Linked DNA regions of Daphnia pulex. The protein of the gene in region 1 binds, or shares a complex with, the protein of each later gene. Links are inferred from orthologs where the notes say so. Each region holds a gene or a part of one and is shown on either strand. Other genes may lie near its edges.

The links. The genes of interacting proteins can lie anywhere in the genome.
Region 2: the proteins of putative inhibitor of apoptosis (region 1) and caspase-1-like are in contact, whole or in part, in a crystal structure (PDB 3SIP), measured with the Drosophila melanogaster proteins. The link is inferred for Daphnia pulex from reciprocal best matches to the Drosophila melanogaster genes Diap1 and Drice. Residues at the interface, in NP_001261916.1 of Drosophila melanogaster: Gln101, Pro105, Asn106, Arg111, Arg113, Ile132, Ser133, Tyr134, Asp135, Ile136, Cys137; in NP_524551.2 of Drosophila melanogaster: Tyr256, Ser257, Trp258, Arg259, Asn260, Thr261, Thr262, Arg263, Trp266, Asp298, Phe299, Glu300, Ser301, Cys302, Thr303, Met309, His310.

The regions. Positions count from the first base shown.
Region 1 is NC_060026.1:15,700,052-15,705,731, forward strand, and holds the start of putative inhibitor of apoptosis, read right to left. Parts: upstream 2,801-5,680; 5' UTR 2,455-2,800; intron 2,409-2,454; exon of another isoform or gene 1,938-2,408; intron 1,741-1,937; 5' UTR 1,674-1,740; coding exon 1,139-1,673; intron 1,080-1,138; coding exon 870-1,079; intron 792-869; coding exon 628-791; intron 555-627; coding exon 228-554; 3' UTR 1-227. Other genes in the region: phytanoyl-CoA dioxygenase, peroxisomal-like, read right to left, coding at 3,751-3,810, 3,887-3,992, 4,061-4,151, 4,213-4,438, 4,496-4,609, 4,671-4,979, 5,051-5,104. UniProt on the Drosophila melanogaster protein: Anti-apoptotic protein which functions as a caspase regulator, using its E3 ubiquitin-protein ligase activity to smother caspase activity. Binds, ubiquitinates and inactivates initiator caspase Dronc, and effector caspases Drice and Dcp-1.
Region 2 is NC_060028.1:7,606,455-7,611,592, reverse strand, and holds caspase-1-like, read left to right. Parts: upstream 1-2,305; 5' UTR 2,306-2,492; coding exon 2,493-2,563; intron 2,564-2,642; coding exon 2,643-2,905; intron 2,906-2,969; coding exon 2,970-3,145; intron 3,146-3,218; coding exon 3,219-3,351; intron 3,352-3,440; coding exon 3,441-3,691; 3' UTR 3,692-3,907; downstream 3,908-5,138. Other genes in the region: uncharacterized protein LOC124208790, read left to right, coding at 38-157, 221-536, 606-760, 844-1,045, 1,114-1,365, 1,452-1,933.

The DNA.
Region 1 (5,680 bases):
GTCAAAAATGTGCCTCTGAACCGAGAGAGTTCTTGTAATTACATTTATTATCTGGATATTTTGTAGCTAATTATTTTAAGCCAACTTTTTTTTTAAATCAAATGCATATAAAGGCTATCTCTCTTCCACATACAAACAAAAGCGTTTTCAAGTTCCGGTACACCGCCATAACTAGGGGCGTGTGTTTCTTCTCTGATCCAATATTTAATTACCGTATGTTTGTTTTTTTAAGAAAAGGGAAAGAAGGCGCGGACCGTCGCTTCGATGCGTTTACGACAGAGGGGACAAGTGGTGAGAGCAGTAGCGCAGGACGGGCAACTCATGGAATGCCCGCAGGGTAGAAAGACCATACTGAGCTGCTGGTCATAACAGATCTGACAAAGAAGGGCGTCACGTAGTTTGGACGAAGCAGAAGTGGATGGCGCATCACCGCCAGTAGCTTCTTCCGACGATTGCACAGCAGCACTACATACATTTTTACCATCTTCTTCTTTTTTAACTTCTTTAACTTCGACTAAATCTTCTGAAGCCGCGCTCGATCCAGGAATATTTTGCTATACAAATATTCAAATGATTTGTTAATATGACTCACAGGATGTAAACACTTTTCGTGCTTATTTATTATACCTTGTATCGAGCTTGAATTTCTCTGATGTAGTCATTTCCTTTCACGGATACTAGAAAGTTGCAACGCGAGAACCAACGGGCGTGTTCTACCCACGGGTCGTCCTTGGGCTCCCAATTGCGCAGAGCTCCGTCGCAGCAGAAACATTTGACGTGATCGCCAGTTTCTATTTTAGAAAAAAAGAAAGAATCGAATTAATAAAATAAAAAATTGCTCGGCATTATGGTATTAAATTTCGACGTACTCATGTAGTAGAATCCTGCTTCAGCTAGCTGCGGTGGGCGTTGTTCTAAACCAGGCGGCCAATCATCAAACGTTTTCAATCTAGCTTCTAACGATGTCAATTCAGGATGACGAGCTTGTTGATGTGGCAAAAGACTCAATGATGACAAGTCACCCGAAGTTGATGGCCCTTCACCGCCGTTTGCTTGACGGATCGTTAATGCCACTGGAACTAAATTTCAACAAGAGATTGAATTGCTGAATAACAAATTATTGATGAAAATTGCTCACCTCTTTCGGGTAATGCATTGGGACGAGATTCGTTTTGAAATCGGGAGCATGTATCTGCGCCACCACCACCGCCCAATGAGGGGAATGCACATGGACGTGAGGATGAGGCGACGGGTTGGACAGTGGGGACACTTCTATTACTGGAGAGAGGGATATTGCCAACTGATAATTGAAGAACAAAAGGGCAATTTGGAGCATGTCTTCTATGCTCAGCCATGGGATCATCGTGAGCTTCCCATTGGCTGATGGTAATGCAGCAAAATGCACATTGGGTTTGATCTGCCAGGCCTCGATAAAAAAAGCCAGCACGTGAAAGATCTCTAGGAGAAAGGTATTCGAGGGGCCATCCCTGGAAAGTTGCTAATCGCAGGGCTTCACTTCTTAAAGCTCTTTGAGAAGCGCTGTTGCTGGATGGGACACTTTTCTGCAAACTAGGGTGAATTGGAGCATCAATCACGTTGTTGTTTGATTGATGACAAAACTGGTGTGAAGATAGTGAGTTTTGACGAAATGTGCCTATTTCAGTTGAGCTCATTTTGTTAGAGGAGCACACTCAGTCGATTAATTAAGTTGAATTGAAAAGGTAGATTGGAAAAGCCACACTGCAAAGAAAGAAACACAAACATTAAGTAAGTAGAAAATGCTCTCCCAAGGCTCAAACACAACAAAAGAAATCCTAACGTTACAATAGCAATCTGCGCATCACAACACGTTAATAATGGGGGCATCGCTTTAAATCCACTTTTCGCTGTTATTTGAATGAAATAGCACTTAAAACTGACTAAAGTGATTAACTTACCAATTTAAGAGTATGAATTTCCTTAAAAATGATACATTTTTCCTCACAACAAGGCTGATAACAAAGATGGGAGGAACACGAATAAGCGTAGAATGTATGTATGTACCCGAATGGCCTTTGAAAGCTTAAGATGGCGACTGATTTTGGAATGCGTACTGCCGCAGGGCAACTTTAACAATGGGGAGAGGGGGGGAACAACAAGGACGAAGCCAATGTCCCAACTTTTACTGTTACCTATACCAAGAATGCCAGAATACGATACGGTTCCCCAAAACTTCCGACAAACTTTCGCAATTTTGAATCGATATTGCTATGGTTAAAATGCAAGGGCGGGTGACTCAGCTTTCTAATCGATATCCCCTTTAATTTGTGCTGGGTTTTACCGACGGTTTTAAAATGTAAAATAAACTAACGTCTCTGTGGAATTTGTCCAATTCTTTATTAGTCATAGCCGGAAGCGGTACTTGAAAAAAAACGTCGAATTATTGCCTAATAACGAAAATAAAAGATAACTCACCGTTATACAGAGCTGAATGTGCAAATTTTCTTGATATGTAAAAACTTTGAGTGGTCAATTATATCCCAAATTCTAGAAGTTGCAAATTTTCGATTAAACTATTTACAATATTTCAAATAAAAATAATTTTTAAAATGATGCTACTAATATAATTATTAATGCTGGGATTTTTTAAAAAAGAACATTTCATCAGGAAACTCAAGTTCACTGACGAAACGTTCGTGAATTAACCATTTCAATATAATTTTACTGTTACAAAAAAAAATACTACAAAGTTCTACGGAATTGTAGAGAATAAAACACACAATTTGCTATTGCGTCTAGCCACAATGGACTAAAAAACCAAAAAGTGGGTTTTATACCGCAATTCCATATCACGCCCTGTTTAAGATAACATATGAAACATGCCTAGACAAGTATCTTTATAGTTATAAGTGCTCCGAAGTCTACTTCGTGAACTGAACACGTACACAAAAATATTTTCGAGAATGATAAAATGTTTGATTCCTAAAGGGCGGTTACAACGAAACAAACAAAATAACAATCACAATAAATTGATTAAATTAACTTTAACTTACCTAAAGTTACCAAAAACATTTTGTAGTTTAGTAAGTAGGAGCACCAGTTGTGCGCATATATAAGGTTCCATTATCGAACCGTTTGTGTAACGTTTCGTTCCGCTTATCAATTCACTAATAAACTGATTCTAGAAGCTTCTGTAACAGAATAATTTGTTTAATTTGATTCTCCGTATTTTTGTAAGCCGTTGATCAGAGTCAAATTAAGATTTCATGCGCATGTCACAAGTTCTCTTTTGGTTCGTCCATTAACTATTCAGATTTCAGACTCTAAATCCTCGACTAATAGCGCAACAGCTCTGCAATTTGACTTGCTCAGTTGCATCTGAATTACTCTGCGATTCATATTGAAATCAATTTTGACTAGATGATCCTTTCCTCATTGCACCATTTCGACATTTACTTAATAAGTATTTCAAAATTTATATAGTTTCAATAAAACGTGCAATGACAGTTGAAGGACATTGGAATCAGTAAATGCTTTTATCTCGTTAGGACTATGATAAGCTGATAACAAATAATGACGGCGTTGTTTTTCTTAACTGTATTGCGACAACAGCTGCATAAGTTGAATCAAACAAAATTCCCAGAATTATATAAGTAAAATATTTTATACAGATTAAAAAAAGTACCCCATTTTGTTATTATGTACGTTGATTGGTTAATTTGGCAATAAAGGCGGATGAAAGAAGCCCTAGAATATGTTGATACTCGAGTTCTAAGCCGGGATAGAAGGGTCACGGCCACGACACAAGCGACTACGGAAACGCCAGATATCCTGAAACCCCCGAATGCAAACAAAATAAATTTAGAAATCCCCCCACAATTGAAATAATGTTGGGTGAATTTAGTACCTGGAATTCGAGTTCCATGCCGCGACGCTTGGCGATTTCTTCGACTTCCTTGGCGATATTTTCCTGTGAAGTTCCGCGGATGTCGATGTACTGCATGTCAGCCGAGCTGTAAGTTTTTTCAACAACACAACATTAAACAAATTTAATTATTTCGCACTGGGGTAATGATTTTACCTGTAATGGCATGAAATAGCTTTGCGGAATCCATTGGTCCTGTTCATTCCCGATCCGTGGATAAGGATTGGATGGAAGAAAACAGTGTCACCTATAAAAATGTTTGCAATGTCAGAATTCTTAATTCATTCAGTTTTCATTTGATTCATTACCTTTCTCCATTGGCAATTCGACCATTGGGTGATTGTCATATCCACGAACTCCATGATACATTTTGTTGACGCCTTTCTCCCAATCGGGATAGTCGTGTTGATGCAAAACTCCTTTGTGGGTGCCGGGCAAGACAATCAGACATCCATTGTCGGGCGTGATGCGTTCCATGGCAGTCCAAGCGCAGACAATACGATCGGCCGGACGGAAAGGGAAGTAGTGCAAGTCCTGTCATCAAAGAGAATTAAATTTGAGCGAGAATAAATTACTTGAGGTGTCAATTACTTGATGGAGAGGATGGCGAGAAGTTTGACTTCCTGTATCAGGTGGTTTATTGATCAACATGGTATGCATAGCGCGAATATTGGGTCCAGTAAAGCATTCAACATGGTCCAAAATCTAAAGATTGAAAAGTTATAGTTGAATACGTGAAAATGAAGAAAAAAGAACAAGTGCTTACCTGAGGAAGCAGGCAAAACTGGAAGAGAACCTCATCGTAGACAAAGTCTTGAGCTTTGTTGTAAAGACGTTCACCTGACACTGTGTTGTTTTTAGCCAGAGAAATGTCTTTCATCATGGTGATTCCACCCCATGGGACTCTTCGATCACACAAGGCAAGAAATCTTTCCTTGCAGGCATCTAAGAACTGTGAGCTAACAAGGCGTGGAATTACAAGAAAGCCATTGTCTTCGTAGAATTGCCTCTGCTCCAGCGTCAACATAGGGTTGTCCAAGGTGTACTGGAATCTTGAGTGGCCATTCATATGTCCCTATAACAGTACACACAGTTTTAAGTATATGTATACAACTTTCATGAAAATGAATATTAATAAAATAGTACCTGATAACCATTATTCATGTGGCCAAGGACAGCTTTCAATCTAGCATCAGCCATGGTTTAAAAGTGAAACTAGAATTACCTAAATTAGTATTTATAGATTATTTTTGATCAAGCAAATGAAATTGGAAGTAAATTCTTTAACCTTAAATTCTTCGCGCAGAGCAACAGGTATCTAAAGCTTCTCTAGCAAGGTGGTTGCCAAACTTATTAGATCAAGGTATCTCCCTAACGACGTAGTCAGCAGAGATGACTATGATAAGTTGCCTATCAAAGTTCAAAGGGTTTGATAATTGATGTTGTTCTAAAGGCGTCTACGTACGTGACTATAAGCATGCGTTTTCTACAGGAGATGAGGCAGACGTGTTATTGACTTATTGTTATATAAGAGCTAGATAAAAACAAGTTGAATTTTCAACTTTTCAACCTACTTTTGCACTGAACGAAAACGAACCGAGTCAACAAATACCTGGAGTGCCATCTATCGGTAACATTAAACAATCTTGTTCTGACGTCATTGAATCTAATGTGATCAGAATCTGACGTAATACGCCCCATTTCATGGGGAAAAGTTTTGTGTATTTGAAGAAAATCAATCAACTTTATTGGCCGAAATCAGTTAATTGAATATAG
Region 2 (5,138 bases), on another chromosome or scaffold:
AGAATTTAGTGCACTTTCTTTAAAAAAAGTAGAAAACATGGGTCGCATCTTCGCTTCGCTATTACCAGTTGGCATTTTAGTTTTATTATGCTGGTCTATTACGATCGCAAATGGCCTTTCTGTAGAGGAGCGCTTGCAACAATTATCTGATCAGTTGGTAAGAATTTCTCTCAGATTCACCAATGAATTTTCGTAATAAATTGAATTAAATCTAAACAAGATTGAAGTGAGACAAGTATTGAAAGAGAATGTCGTTCAACTGGAAATCAAAGACGCCAGGCTAGAAGTGCTCGAACAAAAAGTTGCCAGGTTGGAACTCGCCCTGGAGAATGAACGAGTAGTCAACTCAAAATCCATTTTTAAATACGTCGATGCAGTCAACGCCCAATCAGGTGGAAAGAGCGGCAGCATCCACAGAACGTGCAGAGAGGCTCATCTAGCGGACCCATTCCTCACTTCCGGAATGAACTGGATCGATCCTGACGGCCAGGGAGTTGGTGACAACCCCATTTACGTCTACTGCGACATGATTAAAGGTCTGAACAAGAAAATATCCAGAATCTGAATGAATATTCTAAAAGATTTCACTTAACTTGACGTTGTAGAATCCACATCCATCCCACACGATAGCGAAGGACCTTTGAACGTGGGCCATTGCGCCGATCCGGGTTGTTATTCCAGAGCCATCAACTACAACGCCACTAGTAGACAAATGTCAGCTTTGGCTGAGTTATCGGCGGAATGCCATCAGATAATTAAAGTTAGTAGCACAAGTTTGAAGTTTCCCTTAAACTTGCATGGATGAAACTAATATAGTCGCATTAATATTTTTACTGGACCTAGTATGATTGCAACTTTTCTCCTTTTGAAATTGCTGGGGTTTCTTATTGTTGGTGGAACGACAAAGGAGGCATTGCCAAATATTTCTGGTCGGGCAACAACACAGACACCCACACCTGCCAGTGCGGGATCGATGGAAATTGCGTCGAAACTCCTTTAACATGCAACTGCGACTCTGCTGCGCCTATTCAGTTATCCGACGATGGTTCAATATCATCTTAAAAGATTCTTTTGAATGTTAAATAACCGACCAACTATTTTTAACAAACGCAGGAGTCATTACTGATAAAACTGTTCTGCCCATTACTCGGCTGAATTTTGGTCGAACTCAACTAGAGACTTCATCAGGTGTCCACACACTTGGCCGTTTTGAATGTACCGGACAAGTGACTGTCACTGGAATGCCAAAGTCATGCGAAGATTTGTGGAGAAAGGGGCACACCTTGAGTGGATTATATTCCGTTATGGGAAGAGCAATGATTGAAGCTGTTTATTGCGATTTTAATAAACTGCCCTTTGACTCAGGTATGAGCTTCTTTAATACAAGTTCACGTATTGTAAACTTGTAACGATTTATAGTTCTACATAGTAATACATAATCAAATTTGCAGGTTTCCAGACGTGGATCGGTTACGCGGATGTTAAATCTTCTCCTACCTACTTCTACGCTCAAAGAAACGTAACCTTTAACGAAACTAAGATCCCTATTCCATTCGACGTTGAAATACTAAACGTGGGAGGAGCCATGAATTTTACATCAGGCAAATTCACGGCACCGGTCGCGGGCAAGTACTTTTTCTCCTTCACGGGACTGATACGATTTACGGGATCTTCGACAATACAGAATTGTTATCTTTATTTGTATAAGAACGGGGATCGAATTGCAAGGAGTTATTCTGACGAGATCAGCGCCACAGTGCAAGATGAAACCCTTTCCCTTCAATCAACGTTGAATTTGAATAAGGGAGATCAAATCTGGTTAGAAATTGATTACTTAACACCAGGGACGACTTTGAATGGTCCATTCAGCCAATTTAATGGTTTCCTGCTCGAGGAAGACATTTCCCAGTTTGTAAAAACGTTGATGGTGTGATGATTGCATGATTCGGAATGAAAATGTTCATTTAAAATTCAAGACAGAAATTATTTACTGTGCGATTGAAAATGACTAATTGACTTTCTTTGCTGATTTCTAACAATAAAACTATTTGAACAAAAAATGCCAGACTTGTAGTTTCTCATTTTGGAAACAACAAACAAGGAATGAGATGCATTCGCAATTAACATTACGATGCAGTTGCTATGGAGTTCAACACACCATAGCCTAAGTGATTCATCCCTTGATTCTAGAAAAAGATAAAAAATCATTTTATAAATTATTTATTTTTTTAAACAGATTGCTCCAACCCGCCAACCGTCCGGGAAACTGCTTGGTCATTTCGTCAGTAGGTTGCGCTGATGTCTTTTTCAACTCGAATAAAGGAGGCAGAGGCAGGTTCGTTAAAATCAATGCACAGAGATAGGAACTGTCAAGTAAACTGTGATTGTGAAAAAATCTATTGCTAAATAGTATAAAACTGTTTGAGTCATCTTGGTTGAGTCATTCCTGAACACTAACCAACAAGTGGCATAATATTGTTTTGTAAAATAAAATGGAGGAAGTTGGAATTCAGAATAATGAATTGGGTTCAAAACATGATGAACCTGATGTTAAATTCAAACAGTAAGTAAAAAAAAAGAAAGGCTTGAAACTATTTGACACTCAAGTAATCACTAATCACATTTATTTTTTGTCTTTGAAGGCCTGGCTTGAATACCGACCTTCCCAGCTTTGCTTTCCTACCTGTTGATCGTGACTCAGAAGCATATAACATGAATCATGTGAAGCGAGGGAAGGCTTGCATCTTTAATCACGAAAACTTCAACCCCAATCTTGATTTAAAACCACGTGCTGGAACATCTAAAGACAGAGACAACCTGTACATGAGGTTGAGGGAACTGGACTTTGATGTCACATATTTCAATGATCTGACATTCAATGAACTAAATACTGAAATAATTAAATGTAAGCAATTTCCCATAGTTGAATTTCATTTTCAATTTTGATTTATTTGTGATTTTTTTTTCAGTGGCAAGTGAGGATCACTCTGAACACGATTGTGTTCTCGTTGCATTGATGTCCCATGGTGATGATGGCATATTGTATGCCAAAGACCAGCAGTACAAACCTGAAAAATTGTGGTCCCACTTTACGTCTGACCAATGTCCCACATTGGCTGGAAAACCAAAGCTTTTCTTTATTCAGGTAAACATTATTTAAAAAAATGGACTTCACTGTCCCCAAATACCTTGAGTTAATTATGGTTTACTTTGAAAAGGCTTGCCAGGGGGACAGATTGGATGCAGGTACAACAATGTTGCCCAGAGTCACAGAAACCGATTCGCCCAGTGCAGTGGCTTACAAAATACCCACTCACGCGGATTTCCTGATTGCGTATTCAACTGTTCCGGGTAAAAATGACATTGTGAAAAACGTACCTAATTTACTCCCAATGACTTACTCCATTGCCATTTTGTGGGCGCCCCGGTTGCCTTTTTAGGTTTCTATTCCTGGCGCAATACGACTAACGGATCTTGGTTCGTCCAGGCGTTGTGCTACGTGCTGTCGGAGCGCGGCCGAGAAGACGATCTACTCTCCTTGATGACGACCGTCTCTCGAATAGTCTCGATCGGCTTCGAATCCAATACGCCTCAAGACTCGAACATGCACCAGCGCAAGCAAATTCCCTGCGTCACGAGTCTCTTGACTCGGAAAATTTATTTCAAGCGCAAGACGACTCGCCGTATTTGATTGAAAAGCTACGAAACAAGAAAATGTTGCCTTGTTCTTCTCCTTATCAAGAATTCTTCACAACGATTTAAGTTCGATCGCACTTTCTATCTCATCAAGTAAGTCTTTCAGACGACAATTCAATACTTTGCTCACTTTTTTATTTGCTAAAGTGCTGTGTTTGTATCAATGCAATGCGAAGCCGTTTGTATACACGGGCAAACCATTTCGGTTAAATGGACGGACTGGGCGTCAAGTTATTTCGAGAAACAAACGAGGTCGACACCGTGTTCACGTTTTCTTTTTCTTTTTTGGAAATGGTCAGCGATTAACTTACAAGTCCGTCTCATGAATGAAGGGCCGTTGCAGGGGCTTCCTTTTGTGGCAGTGCAGAGCTGTAAAACTAACGGCCGGTGGATTTAGTGTCCAACAAAGAGGACTTAAAATGTGGATGAGCTCTTAAGCTCTACCTATAACAGTCCATTTTGATCAGCAGGTCTCTTCATTAATGCTGCATGCTTCTCTATTTCTCTTGTCCGTCGTTGCTGGCCCGGCCCCCCCCCCCCCCTATCGTCTACAAATAAGCTGCGGGGAGAGGAACAGGGGAATATGGACAGGCAACATGAGCTCAGTTGGGCATCTCCAACGTCTCCATAAATCTAAAATTCCGATCAGATATCCGAGTTGAACTGTCTCTCTCTCTCTCTCTTAACTTTTATTTTTCCCCCTTTATTTTCTGTTGGAAAACCACGGGTGTGGCTTTAAATATTCCGCCATAAATAGATTTTTTTTTTTCGACTTTAGACCGGTAGCCCAAAACGTAATAGAAACCAAACAAATATCTCCAAGGCAACAGCAGGCAGACCAGCAGCAGCAGCCATCTCCCCCTTCATTTATGATAGGATATCCCGTTCCAATTGGCTCTAGCTATTAGTACTCTACTTGAGGCCATTATTTCACCGCTGGACCGTCAAAAGATCGTTAGAAAAAAAACCCGTTTGCAAACCTGGCAATTATTGGCCAAAATAAAACATCTACAAAAAAAAGTGGACGGACGGCGTGTGTGTGCATGGGAACAAAGTATAGAGGTGGAACGTTTGGCCCCGTTTGATTTACAGTCGTGGTAGATGGTGACACCGTCCTAAATATCTCTTTTTTTTTCTTCTTCCCTCCTTTGTTACCTGAGCCCCTTCTTTTACGATCTCCACAAGGTTTTGGTTCCGTTCGTTTTTGTGCTTTTTTTGGCCTAGAGATTTTCTCCTCCAACATTTCACCCCCGAACTTAAAGAAGAGAGAAAAAATGGATGAATAAATCAAATCGGGAAAAAAGGTTACAAAGTGTCCGCCCCGGTGTGTTTTCTCCCAATGGCGGCTGGAAGAAGGGGGAGAGAGATGCGCATACATCGCTATCGGCAATAAAATATACACCAAGAATTTTTCGCGGTAAAATTTTGATTTTTGAAAAAAA